2 linked regions of the Tribolium castaneum genome follow. The protein of the gene in region 1 interacts with the protein of each later gene in a pairwise test. Links are inferred from orthologs where the notes say so. Each region holds a gene or a part of one and is shown on either strand. Other genes may lie near its edges.

The links.
Region 2: the proteins of Axn (region 1) and sgg interact in a two-hybrid assay, tested with the Drosophila melanogaster proteins (2 studies listed by BioGRID, with this or other methods). The link is inferred for Tribolium castaneum from reciprocal best matches to the Drosophila melanogaster genes Axn and sgg.

What each region holds. Positions count from the first base shown.
Region 1 is NC_087399.1:7,267,240-7,274,972, reverse strand, and holds part of Axn (axis inhibition protein), read left to right. Parts: intron 1-3,767; exon of another isoform or gene 3,768-4,413; intron 4,414-4,466; exon of another isoform or gene 4,467-4,703; 5' UTR 4,704-4,782; coding exon 4,783-4,963; intron 4,964-5,018; coding exon 5,019-5,280; intron 5,281-5,329; coding exon 5,330-5,525; intron 5,526-6,767; coding exon 6,768-6,939; intron 6,940-6,991; coding exon 6,992-7,112; intron 7,113-7,208; coding exon 7,209-7,352; intron 7,353-7,578; exon of another isoform or gene 7,579-7,699; intron 7,700-7,733.
Region 2 is NC_087402.1:5,769,394-5,777,126, reverse strand, and holds the end of sgg (glycogen synthase kinase-3 beta), read right to left. Parts: intron 7,398-7,733; coding exon 7,287-7,397; intron 7,233-7,286; coding exon 6,801-7,232; intron 6,373-6,800; coding exon 6,316-6,372; intron 4,108-6,315; coding exon 3,921-4,107; intron 3,871-3,920; coding exon 3,713-3,870; 3' UTR 1,551-3,712; downstream 1-1,550. Other genes in the region: leucine-rich repeat-containing protein 58, read left to right, coding at 165-643, 689-905, 954-1,143, 1,374-1,537.

The DNA of each region.
Region 1 (7,733 bases):
TTAAACTGGCGAAAATTTTACTTTTAAGTGAATTTTCGTCAGAAAAATAAAATTACTTATTTAAAAAACTGGCAATAATAATTTAGTAATGCAATGAAATTTTAGGTGTTTTATTAAAAAAACTTAAATTTGTATTGTAGCAAATTTCGTAAAGACCCTGTATCCTTGAAAATAATTTTAGGTGAGTCAGGGGGTTAATATTACGAGGAAATAATAATTTCATGTTCTGTATGTATGTTCTGTGGCCGCTTTGAAGTGGTTACACTGTAGTTGTTATTATTTTTTCTGAGTTGTTTGGTAAAAATGTAGAATTGTTGGTAAAAATAACCGTCTGGCCCGTTCGTAACTTTTGTACTTTCCGATTGGTAGTCATAAACATGTCATTCAACAAAACCCAACACGCCCCTGTCTGTTGGATTAGGTCTTCGCTAATAATAAAAATACAAACTACCCTCAGTGTGTGAGTTTTCTTCCGAGAATCGGTCTTTTAACCTCGCTTCCTTCTCTCTCAATCTTGAGAAAAAGCCAATTTCCGTCTCGCTTTTTGAAAGCAGCAGGGCCAACTGTCTGCCCGTAATTATACAGGGACGCGAGTAAATTACCTGTGGCCTTTATCACGTATTTATTAGTACCAGGAAATGGGTTCAAGCCGGGGTGCGGTGAATTTTCCAAATATGCATTACAACGAATTGAATTTTCCACTGGACGCTTTCTGACCATTCGATATTTTCATATTTGAATATTTCTCCCCGTTCGGAATTCTTCAATAATTTCATTTCCGCGTTTGATATTCGCCGCCAACTTGACAATTATTTACACAATCATCAATCAATGACAGATAGCGTAATCTCAGTGTAGCGGCAATAATTCGTCCCGTAGTATACACCTGTCAAAAATTATTGCATTTGTTTGTCGGTTTGGTACCGCTGGTACCGTCGAGGGTCAGCAACCGCGGTACCACTGGCTGCCTCTGGGCTTCAAAGAACTTGTGCCGCCCGCCATTCAGGCCCCCTTGCGTCCCGCGCGCATTCTGTACCGTTCGACAGATGTGAGCCAGGACCGGCTCTCGGAAAAGTGACCAACCCTTCTGGTTTCACCAGAACGGGGTCCGGGCTTTCCTTTGTGTGCCCGTTCTGACCCCTGTTTGTTTGTTTTTTTTTTCGTTTACAATTTTATCATTTAGGCCAAAATGTTGTCGTTGTTTAATAACGAACACGAAGAGCAATACTATAGTTTTTTATTTGCAACGTTTCGACGAGGGCCGTTGTCATCTTCAGGCGATGCGTTTGTCGTTTGTTTTATTATTAATTGATAACGCGTCACGTGGGGTTCTATAAGAAAGTCGGTGATTGGCTGGCCGAGGGTGAAACGTGTGCGTGACGCGAGGGAAAATCCTGAAAGTTTTCCCGCGATTTCAGTTTCCAGTTGGCGGTTTTCCCTCGAAGGTGATTGTGTTTTGTCAAGTGATGCCTGGTTGTTTGCGAAGGTATCGCGACTTTTTCGAGTTTAATTAAAACAAGGGGCAAGACCGGCTCTGGCTCAAGACATTCTCTTCCAGCAGACGTCGGTTGAAGCAAAACCTGCATTACTTACATACTTTATACCGAGCCATTATAACGTTTTTATGAACGCAGACGTGCACTTTAATTAATTCACGGTTTGACGAATTTTTTTTAAAATATCACATTTAGCTTAGTTAGTTAATTACAACAAAGTACACGATATATCATCAATTTCCAAAATCGAATGGACTTTCGGACTGTCCTAACAATCCGAAAAAGGTTGTGATTATTATTAGAGATATTGGCTTTTTCTTTTTTTAATTACTGGTAATAGCTGTGTCATTGCTACATATTTTAAAATTATTGCGGTATAAAGGCTGATTCAAAAGTGACGGACAAACTCTAAAAGACGTTCATTTAGTCAGTTTTTTTTCAAGTAACTTAATTTTGACATATTTTTTTAATTTGTTTTCTTTAGCAACGGTAGCGATTTTCGTTTTATATGACGCCGAAATTAATTTATTGTCAAATTTTCAAGACATCATAACATTAATTGTTGATTTTTTTCAATAGGTATTTGTTCAATTTTTAAAGAGCCGTCGTTTCAGCTAACCAAAGTCAAAAAAATATGATCTGAAGCACCAAAAATAATTTTTTGTCATAGGAACTTTCAATTCAGTTTGATGTCCTTTATCAGCACCCGAGAAATTGTCCGGTACTTTTGAATCACTGCGTATATACTGGTAAAATTTAAAAAACACTAAAGTTATATTTTTTTAAATGGGACACCTTAAATTTTATTGCATTTTTGGACGTAGTTTTTAATACTGATGATTTTGATCTAAACTTGTATTGATCGATTTTGCTTAGTTTTTGAAATTTTAATTTGTATTTTACCGAAAACACGCCTTTTGCAAAAAGTATTACACAAAAACTAGGAATAATAGAAAAGTAGGAATTCTACCACTTTAAAGAAAAAAGTTCAGACTTAAATATGTTAAATTGTTTAGCGCATTTGCAATTAGGAACGTATAAAAATTAAGAAAATTATTAGAACTTGAATAATTTGAAAAACTTAAAGAAACACCCTATTTTTGTTTTTGCGTCTCAAAGGTTATTAAATTTTCTATCTAATAACAAAGTTTTAAATGCCTAAACTTAATAACTAAAAAGATATTTGAGTTTAAAAGGTACTGAAACAACAGTTAATGTTTTTTTTAATGTTTAAAGTTAAATATTTTATGAGTAATCAGCAAGAAAGACAATTTAAAGGTCTTCTAGATGCAATAATATTAAAAATTAGTTATTCAATTTGCAACAAACCTCTTAATTTTTTTATCTTCTTGATTGTAGGAAGCTAAAAAAATGTACCCTTTAAATTTGAATTTTTTTCTTTAAAATGGTGAATTTTCTATTTTTCTAAAGTTCCTAGTTTTTATGTATTTTTTTAAACTTATTTTCATCAAAAAAATAAAGTATTTAAAAATTTGAACAAAATCGACCAATAACAATTTAGCTTAAATGTATAACACTGTGAAAAGCTACATCCAAAAATGCAAAAAATTAGGGTGTTTCTAAAGAACAACTTTAGCGCGTTTTTTTTTTTTTTAATATTGAGACACCTGTATATAAAGTGCAATAATTTTAAAATATGCAGCAAAAACCTCCAAAAAAAAAAAGAAAAATCGTTGGAACAGTTTGTATGTTCACATTTTTTTACCGTTAAAATTTCCCCGAGAATAATCGGTAATTCCCCCGGTTTTTGTGAAAAGCCGTCAAGATTTTTTCTAGCCTTGCGAGCCGTAGTTTTGTTTTTCACGCCGCTTAAAATTAAGTGGTTATAACTTAAAATGCCGTTAAATTATACACTAACATGGCCCTTCTCACCCCTATAATAACACGGTACGATTTCGACGGCGTTCGCTTTAATTAATACCTTCACACCAGTTCAAAGCGGAAAAAATAAAACATAAACTTGGCCACAACCGATCAATTTTGTATTATTTTTGTGATTAATTGTGCGACATAAACGCAAAGTCCGAACATGATGTGGTTATGCAACCGTGTACACACGCATGCGTCACTGGTTGCATAACCCGCAATACAATTTAAATAAAAATTAATTATTTAAAAGTTTGAAACGATAATTACACAAAAACAACATTACCGTAATGCCAATCATTTGGCCCGTGGTTGTTGTTAATTTCAAGGCCTTGCTATGTAAGGGGGCTGCGTTATAACCACTTTACGTGGTGACAATGGCAATTAATTTTTTAAATGTTTAATTATGCAAAATTTGTTTCTTTTGTCTCAAATCTTGTGCCCTTGTGACTTCCTGACGGCGTTCCAGCCCCTGCATGCCCCTCATTATGCGTCGATTGCTCACAAAAGCCTTTGGCTTTTTTTAAGATGTGGTCCAATCGATCGATGGTGCCTCCAACCACTCTCATTTCTCTCTCTATTTCCATGGCAATATCTGGCTTAAGTAATAAAAATGAGCCTTAGGACTGTTGTGAAAAAGGATCTGGTGGCTTGAAAAGAGCGTGGAGCCCCCTTTTGTCTAATGAGTCATCGATCGAAGGAACTCTTAGGACTTTATCCAGTTGTTCATTGCAGCATTTGAACATTTCCTATTCGCCTGTCCATCATAACGGACGCTTCGGGTCTGATTTAAGTGGCAGCTGAATGCGATATTAATAAAATAAAAATAATTTTTTCGTAATAATAGGATAAGGGGTGTATTGTGTGTTTAGTGCCGTTTCATAATAATATTTCAGTGGGGCTCCCCGTTGATGAAATGCGGTATGTTTTGCATGGTTTGGCTGTTTCGTTCGCCTGATTGCGTTCTAGCCGAAATTACATCATGGTAAAGTGATGTAATTGGATATGACAGGTTTTGATTTTTTCCTACCTGAAATAAATCTTTTGTTTGGATTTATTAAATATGATTTAATATTTTCTAACCGGGGATCCATTACGAAATAATGCGAGCAGAAGAAATGAATAGGGCTGCGCATTGTATGGTTTTGTTCAGATGCTCTTCGGGTATTGATCGAAGAGTCTACCACTCCCCAAGGGGCACTCGCTCTAGCGTCCATATTTGAATTGTTCCACGATGCGGGGATTATCGGGAGGGGTCCACGGGCCCCCTAGACAATTTTTTTGTAAAAAAAAAATTTTTCGAAAAAAATTTTTTTTCAGTTTTCATGATGAATCCGAGGCGTTCCGCCCCCTGTAAGTGCCCCATCTCGCTCGGCTCGTATCGGGGGCCTCTCTCAACATGAACGACCGGGAAAAGAGCAGGTCCAGTGGCAAACAGCACATCTATGAAGGCACTTTCGACTACACTTTGCCGAGGCCCCCCGCATTGGGAGAGGAGAGAGCTTACAACGCGTCGGAGCGGGGGGCGCAGCCACTGCAGATGGACCGCAGGCACTACAAGTCTTCCTCTCCTGTTCCAAGTAACAAGCAGTTAATTATTAAAATTATTAAACAATTAAAAAAAAAATTTTTCAGAGTTTGATTTCGACGATGGTAGCAGTTACAGGCCTACTTCGCGGCCTTCGTCGCGCCACGGGAAACCGCCGGCCTACCTCGCATGGGCCGAATCGCTGCACAATCTGCTGCAGGATTCGGACGGTGTGAAATTATTCTTGCGTTACCTCGAATCGGAAGGGCCCCATCATGCCGACACGTTGCGCTTTTGGTTCGCTTGCGAAGGCTTGAAGAACCACGATCAAGTCGAAAATATACAAAAGTTGGTTAAATTGATCTACAAGTGAGTCCCGATTGGTGCATTTTTGGGTTTTGATTAGTATTTTTTTCAGAACGTATTTTTTGAAATCGGCCCTACAAATCAACGACGATCTGAAGAAACAAATAATGAGAAATTTAAAATCGCCCCAGTGCCTTGAACCACCCATTACTCTGTTCGACGAGGCCCAAGCACAAATCGAAAACCTTATCAATAAAACTACTTATCCCAACTTCCTCAAAAGCGACATCTATCTGCAATATGTCCAAGTAATTACGATTTCTAACATTTCTCACTCGAGATCACTAAGGTCAATATTAGGCAGTGGCGGATCTGGGATAAAATTTCTATTGAGCCGAAAAAATAATTTTAAATATTTTTAATTGTGTTAAGTGTTAATTCTAGCGTCCCGTTTTTCATGCATTTTTGTCATTTCACTGTCAAATATGATAGGAATCATAGTTGGCTATGTCATTTTCGAAAAACTTATTTTTTTCTGAACTGAAAGCAATATAAATACAATTTGACATTTTAATATACTTTTGATAAAAAATATATTTATAATATTTGAAAGTAGTTGGCCATGGAAAAATTATTTCACATAAAAGGTGTGAATAATCTAGAAATTTTGTGAACGGTTATTAAAGTAAAAAATGTGAAAATATAAAAATAAACTATGTTATAGTTATTTTCAATTGAACAAATATACGATCATCGCAAATGTTAATTAAAAAAAAAATGTGCAGAAAATTAAAAACGATGTGATACTACCATTTTTCACACTTTTTTGATTTAGTGACGTGACGTTGATAATGTTGATTAATTTTGGTGTTTGGATCGACATTTCTTTATTAAGGAAATCATACAATTAAGATTTTTTTTTCAGACATTTCATGTTTAATTAGAAAATAGAATGACAGAGCTTGCCATTTTAAACCTAAAAACAAACAATTTTTTAGTCGCAAAAATTTGATGTAATAATAATTTATTATGCTGTTTTTGATTTAATTACTGTTTAAAAAATCATTAAATTATAAATACTTACTGGATAATACATTTTTTAAAGTTTGAATTGAAAATCCAAATTTTTGTTGCCCACAAAAAAGAAAAAGAGAATTGTTATGTTTTATTTTAATTATTTAAAAATAATGTATTACACAAATAAACAGATTAAATCAGAAAAAAAAATAACTTTTCGAAAATGTCTTACAACTTATTTTCTTTCAATGTATTTTAATTCACATTTTTATTCTTCCTCGTTGTTTATGATGTAAGTTCTATTTCCAATTTATCGTTTTTCGTCGCTGACTAAGTTATAAGTTTTTTTGGCGTTTTTTTTGCAAAGACAATCAAGACATCATTTTTCATTTTGGTTTGGAATCCATTTAAATGACCGCTCACAACAGCGAAACCAATTTTTTTATAATCTTGTGGTTCCAATATTTGGTTAAATCACCCTAATGTTTAAATTGCATTTTATTATGCATTGTATTAATTTTTCTACCCAATAGTCGGTCGAGAATGCGAGCAGCGACGACTTCAACAGCGAATCGAGCTCTTCCAGCAGTTCCCTCAGTAACAAAGACTTGGGGAACTTGGCCAGCGGTTTGGGCCCCCTTCCCACGCTCCACGAAGGCATGGAATTCAGTCTCAACACCCAGCAGCCCGTCATCCTAACGCCAGGTGCACCAACACTCAAAATCTAATTATTTTTTCACAAATCAGCACTGTCTAGGTGCAGCCAGTGTCAGTACGGGTTATCACACGCCAACAGTTCGCCTCACCAAAGACATGCTCCTCCGATCTCAAAAGCATCGCGCTCTCGACATCCGCCCCAAATCCGAGACCTATGCTGGGTGAGTACCGTGCAAGCAAATTTTTATTTTCACAACACGCTTTAAGCTTGGTTTCTTTTTATTTTCTCCGTTTTGTTTTTGCGTGTGATTGCGTAGTTTGATATACCGAAGCAGTGGGGCTCACGTCGCATACAATTCCTACAACCCGGTCTCGAGGCAAGATAGCGAAATGCAGTCGCTTAGTAGTCATTCAGATGCGAGGACCGAATCGGACAATATGTCCTTAAATGAGAGCAATGTGTGAGTATTGAATCAAGGGGGCGATATTTGCGGGCGCATGTCCCGAAATTTTGGTTTTGGTGGCGGGGACTAATCCTGAACTCTAACAAGGGTGATTAACAATGAGGATGGAAAGTTTGAGGCGAATTTTGAGTATTTGTATTAGAAAAGTGAGGTTTTGTCACTTTTGAATTTTCACGCTGATTGTTTAAAAAAACGTAAAAGAGTAAATATTTAAAATTGTTACCAGCCGATCAATTGGGGGCACGTTTCTGGACACAAAACCACTAATTATGTTTTTTGTTCTATTTTTGTCGGCAAACTTAAAACTTTGGACGTTAGGGACTTTTTGTTACATGGTTGGCAACGCTGCAGGTTAACAAAGTTTAAATAATACAAATT
Region 2 (7,733 bases), on another chromosome or scaffold:
CCACGCTTTGTTCACAAATTGGTGATAACACGTTTGACCTTAGCTTCGCTTGAACGCAGCGTTCTCCTAATCGCAGCCCACAGTTCAAACGGAGTTATCATAATCAGAGCTGCTCAAGTCATGCCCCCATTAGTTACAATTTGCCATTGAACGTGAGTGCAACTATGGAGAATTACAGCAGTGACAGTGATACAAATGGAAACAAAGTGTTCGACTTCGCCTATTTGCTTTTGGATTCGCAACAACTGGAAGAAAATCTGAACGAACTAGGCAAGGACTGCACGAAGCGAGAGGACATCGAGTCGATTATTTTGCACCACAACCAACTCACAACGCTCCCCAAAAATTTGGCAAAATTCACAAACGTCCAAGTCCTCGATATCAGCAACAACGGCCTTACGGCCTTACCTGATGTTTTCGAGTACTGGCATTTAACAACACTGGTTGCGAAAAATAATCGCTTCAGTAACGAATCCCTCCCGAAAAGTTTCGCAGAGAGTGCGAGCTTGCGGGAGCTAAACCTGAGCGGGAATGTTTTCGAACAGTTTCCCGAACAACTGTTTGAGTTTACTAATTTAAAGTACCTGTACCTAGGAGGGAATAAAATTAAAACAATACCGAAAAACATAAAGAAATTAAACTGGTAAGTGGGGACGACTAAAACGACCACACGTGATAATGATTGCAGCCTTCAAATCTTGTCGATGGGTGGCAATCAATTAGTGGAAGTTCCTTCAACTCTAGGCCAACTGAAGCAACTGCAGGCTTTGGTGCTTTGCGATAACTTAATCGAGAGTTTGCCGTCAAATATCGCCAATTTGCACAACTTGAAGTCGCTCCAGTTGCACAAAAACAAACTGCGCACTTTGCCGCCTGAAATAATCGCGCTGAAAAATTTGACTGAGGTAACAAATAAATCATCTTTGTGTAAAAATAAAATTCGATCGTCACAGCTGAGTCTCCGTGATAACCCCCTGGTTGTCCGTTTTGTGAGTAACATAAAACATAACACGGCTAGTCTGAAAGAATTGTCGGCTCGTGTGATAAAACTGCACCAAATGCGGGTCGAAAAGGGCGATATTCCGGCCAGTTTATTGAATTATTTGGATTCGGCCCACCATTGCGTCAACCCGTATTGCAAAGGTGAGTTGTTTAATGTCTTTAAAAGAAGGCTTTATTAAAAATAACCTGAATCCTAGATTTTAAAGCACGCTTCCCACGTGTTTTAAGTTAAAATGTTCCAACAAAAAAAATTATGCGAAAACGCTTAAAGTTATCGAGTGTCTATGTATGCGACTCGTTTACGCTCGTAGCATAACGACAGCCCTCGAACTTGTGTTTTCGCTCTCGTATTATTAACTATTTTGTTGCAGGTGTGTTTTTTAACAGTCGCGTGGAGCACGTGAAATTTGTCGATTTCTGTGGGAAGTACCGACTGCCCTTGCTGCAGTATTTGTGTTCGACGAAGTGCGTCGAAGACGGCGAGGAGTTGCGCCCCCCTCGCGCCTACTTGATGAAAAAAGTATTGTTGGGTTAAATTACGAGCAATAAACTTTTAATACTTTCTTTATATTTTAAATATTCATGGTATATATTGCATATTCCAGTGTCAAGTTTACATATAATAAGCGAGATATATACAGCGTAAAACATTGAGCTGAAAGAAATTTGAAATATAATCCGCCTAAAACTCTAAATAAAACGACATAGTTAGGAGTTCTAAGAACAGCACAGGACCAACCAAACATAACCTGGTTACATTTCGCGAGTGTTGAACATGTTGTAAAAGCGTATTTACAAATTTACACTAGTTTGCCGAAAATTTTGAAAACCTGCACACTGAGCGGGCCTCGAGGAGTATATTTGGTTGTCCAGAATGAAAGTACGCATAAAACCGAAGCAACCATTCGATTTCGTGTCTAGATAAGCTGTGCAGGAGATTATTTCGTCTACTCGAATTTTCCAAGGCAATAAAGACAGCCCTAAGCAAACGTGAAGCAATTCTTAAAGTGCGTCCAAGAGCTCCGCTTATTGCCTGCAAAATTACCGTTATTTACAATTGCTTCAGTTCGCTAGATGCTACACATGACAACATGAAGGAAAAATGCTGCCGCTAGGCTGGCCTCAGGAAGGGCGCACTTTTAGTTCATGGTACAACAATGAAGTGCATTCATAGAATGCATATTCTAACACAAAGCTGGTTCCAATCTCACTTGGTAGAGAAAAGTATACATTTCAATCAAATCATATAATTAATCATAAATAAAATAAACTCTGTCCTGACTAATTCGGGGCGCCCGAACGCAACTAAACTCAACTAATTACTCATAAAAAATATTTTGATATGTTATGTTTTGACCTTCTACTCTAGAGCACTTGCATCTATGGAAATCACAAAATTTTCATAAAACAAGATATTTACATAACAATTGGGGCGACAGACAGACTATTCCAAGGTGAGTCTCACTCTTTAACTAACCGACACAGTCATAAATACTACTAGCGTAGAAGTCATTCGTTTAAAATTCTAGACATTTAATCCTCTCCACTGAAAGATCGCCGACTTCACGTGAAGACCTGAAACTGTGACTGGCCCCCAAGTGGGGCCAAATGTCTAAAACTTCACCTGTAACCACTTAAGGTACAAGCACACCCGACTGTTGCAACGAGAGGGCTTGAAATGAAAAAGTCGCTTATTCAGATGATTTATTCGCATTTTAGGAAACATCGAAATTGAGTTAACTGTCATTATAATGTTTTATTTTAATATTGCGATTGTTGGAGGGGTGTCGAGGAGCGGGAGAAGGGAGAGTGTGCTTTTACCTTAAATTAAATTATTAATTTGGCTATGTCAAAATAACACACTTTGCACATAATCTTGCGTTTAAAAAATAACTCCAAACCGTAGATAGTGCACATCTATGGAAACTAATAATAATTGTCCTAGTTTCTTGGAGGCGTGTTCAGAAATGTTAACGCATTGCACTTCGTAAGCTAGTACGATCATTAGGATAATTCTACGTTGTAATGTTTCACTCATTTTTTCTAAAGCGTAAGCTAGAAGTACACAATATTTCAAGATTAAATATCTTTCTCGTTTGTATACTCATATCAATTCACACCAACTGTTTTACTCTACGGTCCTGGATTTTATCGCGATGTCAGGTTGTTATACAATTACTACTCATACCAAAACGAATAACCTTAAATAATTAACACCAAATGCTTTGCGTAAGTAAATTATGTTAAAACCACTAATATAACGATGAAAATCACCAAGAAGATCTACGTTAATCAATAACTTATTTTGCCTTGTTTAAAAATATACGAATTTATGTCTGGTAATACAAATATGCTCATTGAAAAATCTGTTCCAACGGTTCCAAAAACAAACTAAAGTAATCATTCAACTAAACCTACTTAAAATTTACAAATGTTTTTATGTATAAATAATATGTACATATATTGTGATTGGTGCGACACCAGATTTTTCAATGCAACTCAAACGCAACAAAATTTGTAAAAATGAACGCGCTAAAACAAAAGGGCATTAACACAAACGCCTACAAACAACTAATCAAATTCTGTACAAACGCACGTATATTAAATATAGTACAGCTGTCCCAATCAACAATCTCACACAGATCGCTTACTAGATAAAGGGAGAAATGGGACGAGCGAAAGGGGCCCTTCCCTTGGAGGATTGAACTACTTAAGGTATTCCGGCGGCGGTCGCTTGCACGGGGGCTGCCGTCGTGTCGGCGGCGTCCGTCGCCCCCGACGACGCGGCCCCGTCTTGCGGACTGTTGGCGGCCTCCTGCACCCCTCGCGGTATCAGAATGGAATTCAATGAAGGTTGAATACTCAACTCTGCAACCAGCTAATTACCACCAACTCTCACTCTCCCCCAATTAAATCACCTTGTTCCGTGAAGTTGAATAGAGGGGGCAGTTCTTTATTTGTGGGCAAGCGGGTGTTGGGGTCCCGGAGCTCGTTGAAGAATGCGTGAGCACAAGCCTGCAATGGACTGATCCGTGATGAAGGAGTGTACTCCAAAAGTCTGGCCACTAACTCGATCGCTTCTGGGGGAGTCCGTGCTCGGAATACCTATCGATACAATTTTAAACATTTTTTTTTTCTAATTGGAATCAATGCCGATACAATACGATTGACATAGTGACGTTACACAACTGTTTTATTTATGTATACGCTTTTTTGGAGCATGTGTCACATACAGAAGCACGCAACGGCGGGCTAAACCTTTCGTGCGATTGCAAAAAACTGCCTTATTGATAAAATAAATGACAAAATGCTACGACCAAAACTTATTTTATTATTGAATCTTTCAAACTCCCAAACACCCATGAATATCTACGTTTTATTTATGAATTGTTAGTGAATAACCAATCCATTTAAACAATTCCAAAAATTATTAACAATGGCACAATTCACCAAAAAGGAAAGCATTTCATTACAGTTTGTTCTACCAATTCCGCAAGAATTTAATTTGAAATAATGAATCAAATTTCTATGCCCTTTACATTTAAGACAATAACTCAACAAAAGTACGGTCAAACTTCGACGTTACATTGCCAAATTATTCCCAGATATTAAAAAAAAATACTTGCAACTAAATCAATTTAATCCTTTCGTATTTGTTGAAAAAACTATTAGAATAATAAATGAGCGCATCTCTAATTTGGGCAGATATTTCGGGAGCCAAAAGGGGATAAATAAATAAAGAAAAAACAATTAAAGCCACGTTAGAAAAAAGTTTACTTACGAATTAAATCGCTTAAAAATGGTTAAAACGACATAATTTAGACCTTATTCGGCAATTTATTTACTTTTTTCGGCAAAATTTCGTGACATAAGTGAGTTTCTAGCTCAAGAATAAACTAAATCATTGAAAACTGACTGAAATAAGGTGGCTCAGACTAAGCTGGTGACTTTAGCCTGTTTAATCTAATCGCTGAAAAATGTTTGAGATCACGTAGTTTTGCAAATGTTTGGCTTGTTTCAAACTTTTTTTTGAAATACAAAGAGAATACATTTAATAAAAACTCGCCACAAAAAAGTTTTAAAATCACCCATAATTCGGAGATTTGTTTAATTTCGACAAAATTTGTTGAAATAAATGAATTTCTGGCTCAAATGTGAGCTAGAGGTCTTAGGACTGCCTGAAATAACGTAACGAAGGCACAGTTTTTGGTGTTTTTAGTCTCAAATCTCGCAAAGTTTCTGGTTCAAAAACCATCTAACCACTGAGATAACGTAATTTGTCAGTGACTTAGCTTGGCTTGTTTCAAGCAAATGTTGAAATAAGAAAAAATATAAATAAATTTAATTTAAAATAAATCGGCTATTTACATACTTTTATCCAAGTTTCTTGAAATAAGTGAGCCCAAGAACAAAAAAAATTCTGAACTGGCTCAAATAACGTAAATATGTAAACTGAGTTTTGTGATTTTTTTGCTGTTTCTGAAATATTTCTTTGCTGTACATTGTCTGAAACATCTTTAAAAATAGAAAGCAATTAATTTGATTCGCACATAAACGATACAAAAAATAAATGATAATTTGAATAAATTTCTTTTGAACAGTCTGTAAGTAGTTTCATTACAAAATACAAAATTATGTAATGTGTTGTTTGGAATTAAAAAAGCAGAGTTGACGACCAGAAAAAATAAACATGACATGCAGAAATATAATTGTTATCAATGTTTAACTTTTATTTATTATTTGGAATAGACACAACTGTAAGAAGAGTTCATTATCGTTCCGTTTTTTATTTTTGAACTGCCAAATTTGACGTGATTATTTTAATTATGCAATGAACGACTGATTAACTTTTACTTTCTTCTACATAATGTTGTGTCACAGAAAAAGTGACTTTTATTCCAATTCCTATAAAAAAATATGAGACAGTCATTTCTACCGAATACGTTATTAACAAGCACTGTAATAAACATTGAAATTTCGTTCCCTCGCAGGACTGAATGAATGAATTCACTTCTCTTTAATCAAAAAATTACGCGTTAAGTAAAACCCACAAAAGGGCGTTCCCTTGTGCGTGACACTTTGATGTGTTGCATCCTCCATCAAGCAATAAATCTAGTCTCTTCCCAACAGATTTAATTTTTCCCCTGCCAATTTCATTTCAAGATAATTAATTTCAAACACGTAGATGATGACCAAAACTGTCACTTTCACAACAAACAACACATGCACTCGTTGTAACACAATAATTTTCAAAAACACACATCGCACAAGCGTTTTTTAATTGAATGACGGCAAGTAACCAAAGCCACTTACACGTATTCTTTGGTGATTGGTGCTACAATGTGGTAGAGACATTCTCGACAGCAAAAACTGCAAACAGACGTCCTCGTCAAAATTTTACTCGTAATAAGCTTGTGACAAATTGTTAGTGGGTTATTCCTCGTGTCAGACACAAATCAAAATTCCTCGATTGGAAAACAAGTGGTGGATCGTCTGGTTTGTAGTCGATGCGTGCGAAATAATATTCGAGAGATACGAAATGTTCTTAAACATTTAGTCCCTTTGGCGCAACTGCGAGTGTTTTCAACACGCCGGTCCCTCGGGACGGATATTTTTACAGCCGCTGTAAAAATTCTACAACTTCTACTGCAATGTTTTTATTAAAACGGCAAAAATGTGTTTGGAATTAGAGCATTATTGTACCTCTCGAATACCACGGATGCGAAAGCTCCACATTCACTACTTCATTAGTTAGTTAAAAATAAAATGCACAACCGACGTTAACAATAGCCACTGACCTGTTGCCAAGGATGCGACTTGATCTGCGGAAACTTGAACTCTGTATAATTCGGATTCATCTCCTTGATCTGTTCTTTAGTTGGCGTGCCTAAAACTTTGATAATTTCTACTAATTGGTCTACACCGGAATCTCCGGGGAATATCGGCTGGCCCAGCAGTAATTCGGCCAGGACACAGCCCGCACTCCACACGTCGATCTTCGTAGTGTAGTCGATAGCGCCGAATATCAGTTCCGGTGCTCTGTAATAACGACTGCAAATGTACGAGACGTTCGGTTCGCCTTTGACGAGGTGTTTAGCGCTGCCGAAGTCGCACAACTTCAATATGCCAGTGCCTGGATCCAGCAGAAGATTTTGCGGTTTAATGTCCCGATGACAGATACCCAACGAGTGTATGTACGCCAACGATCGGAATAACTGGTACATATACAACTGCAAAAAAATATAACATGCAATTCAATCCCGACAAAAAGCCAAACCTCCTACCTTGATAAAAATTATCGGGATTGTTTGCTTTGATTTGCTGTAATGTCTCGCTACTCTGTATACCGTTTCTGGGATGTATTCCAACACCAAATTCAGGTACACTTCGTCCTTCTGCAACCGAAAATAAACGCTATTCACTTTTTTACATTTTGGTGATGGCTGGGGGACACTTCAACCAAAACGCAAGGAAGATTAACCTAGTTTTAAATAAAAAAAAAACAATATTACAGCTTCCCTAATCAATCAAATGAAATGATTCAATGTAAAATTATTCGCTCTCTATTCAAAAACATAAACAACTTCGTTCGATCCCAATTTTCTTCAAGGACAGGCTCTAGCTCTCGTCTCGTGGCGCTTCTTCAGTGATTACGACGCAATTTATCGCAATATTTTAATCTACCGAGAAAGGTGCCTCACTAGACTAACAGAAATGGCAGTAACTAATCT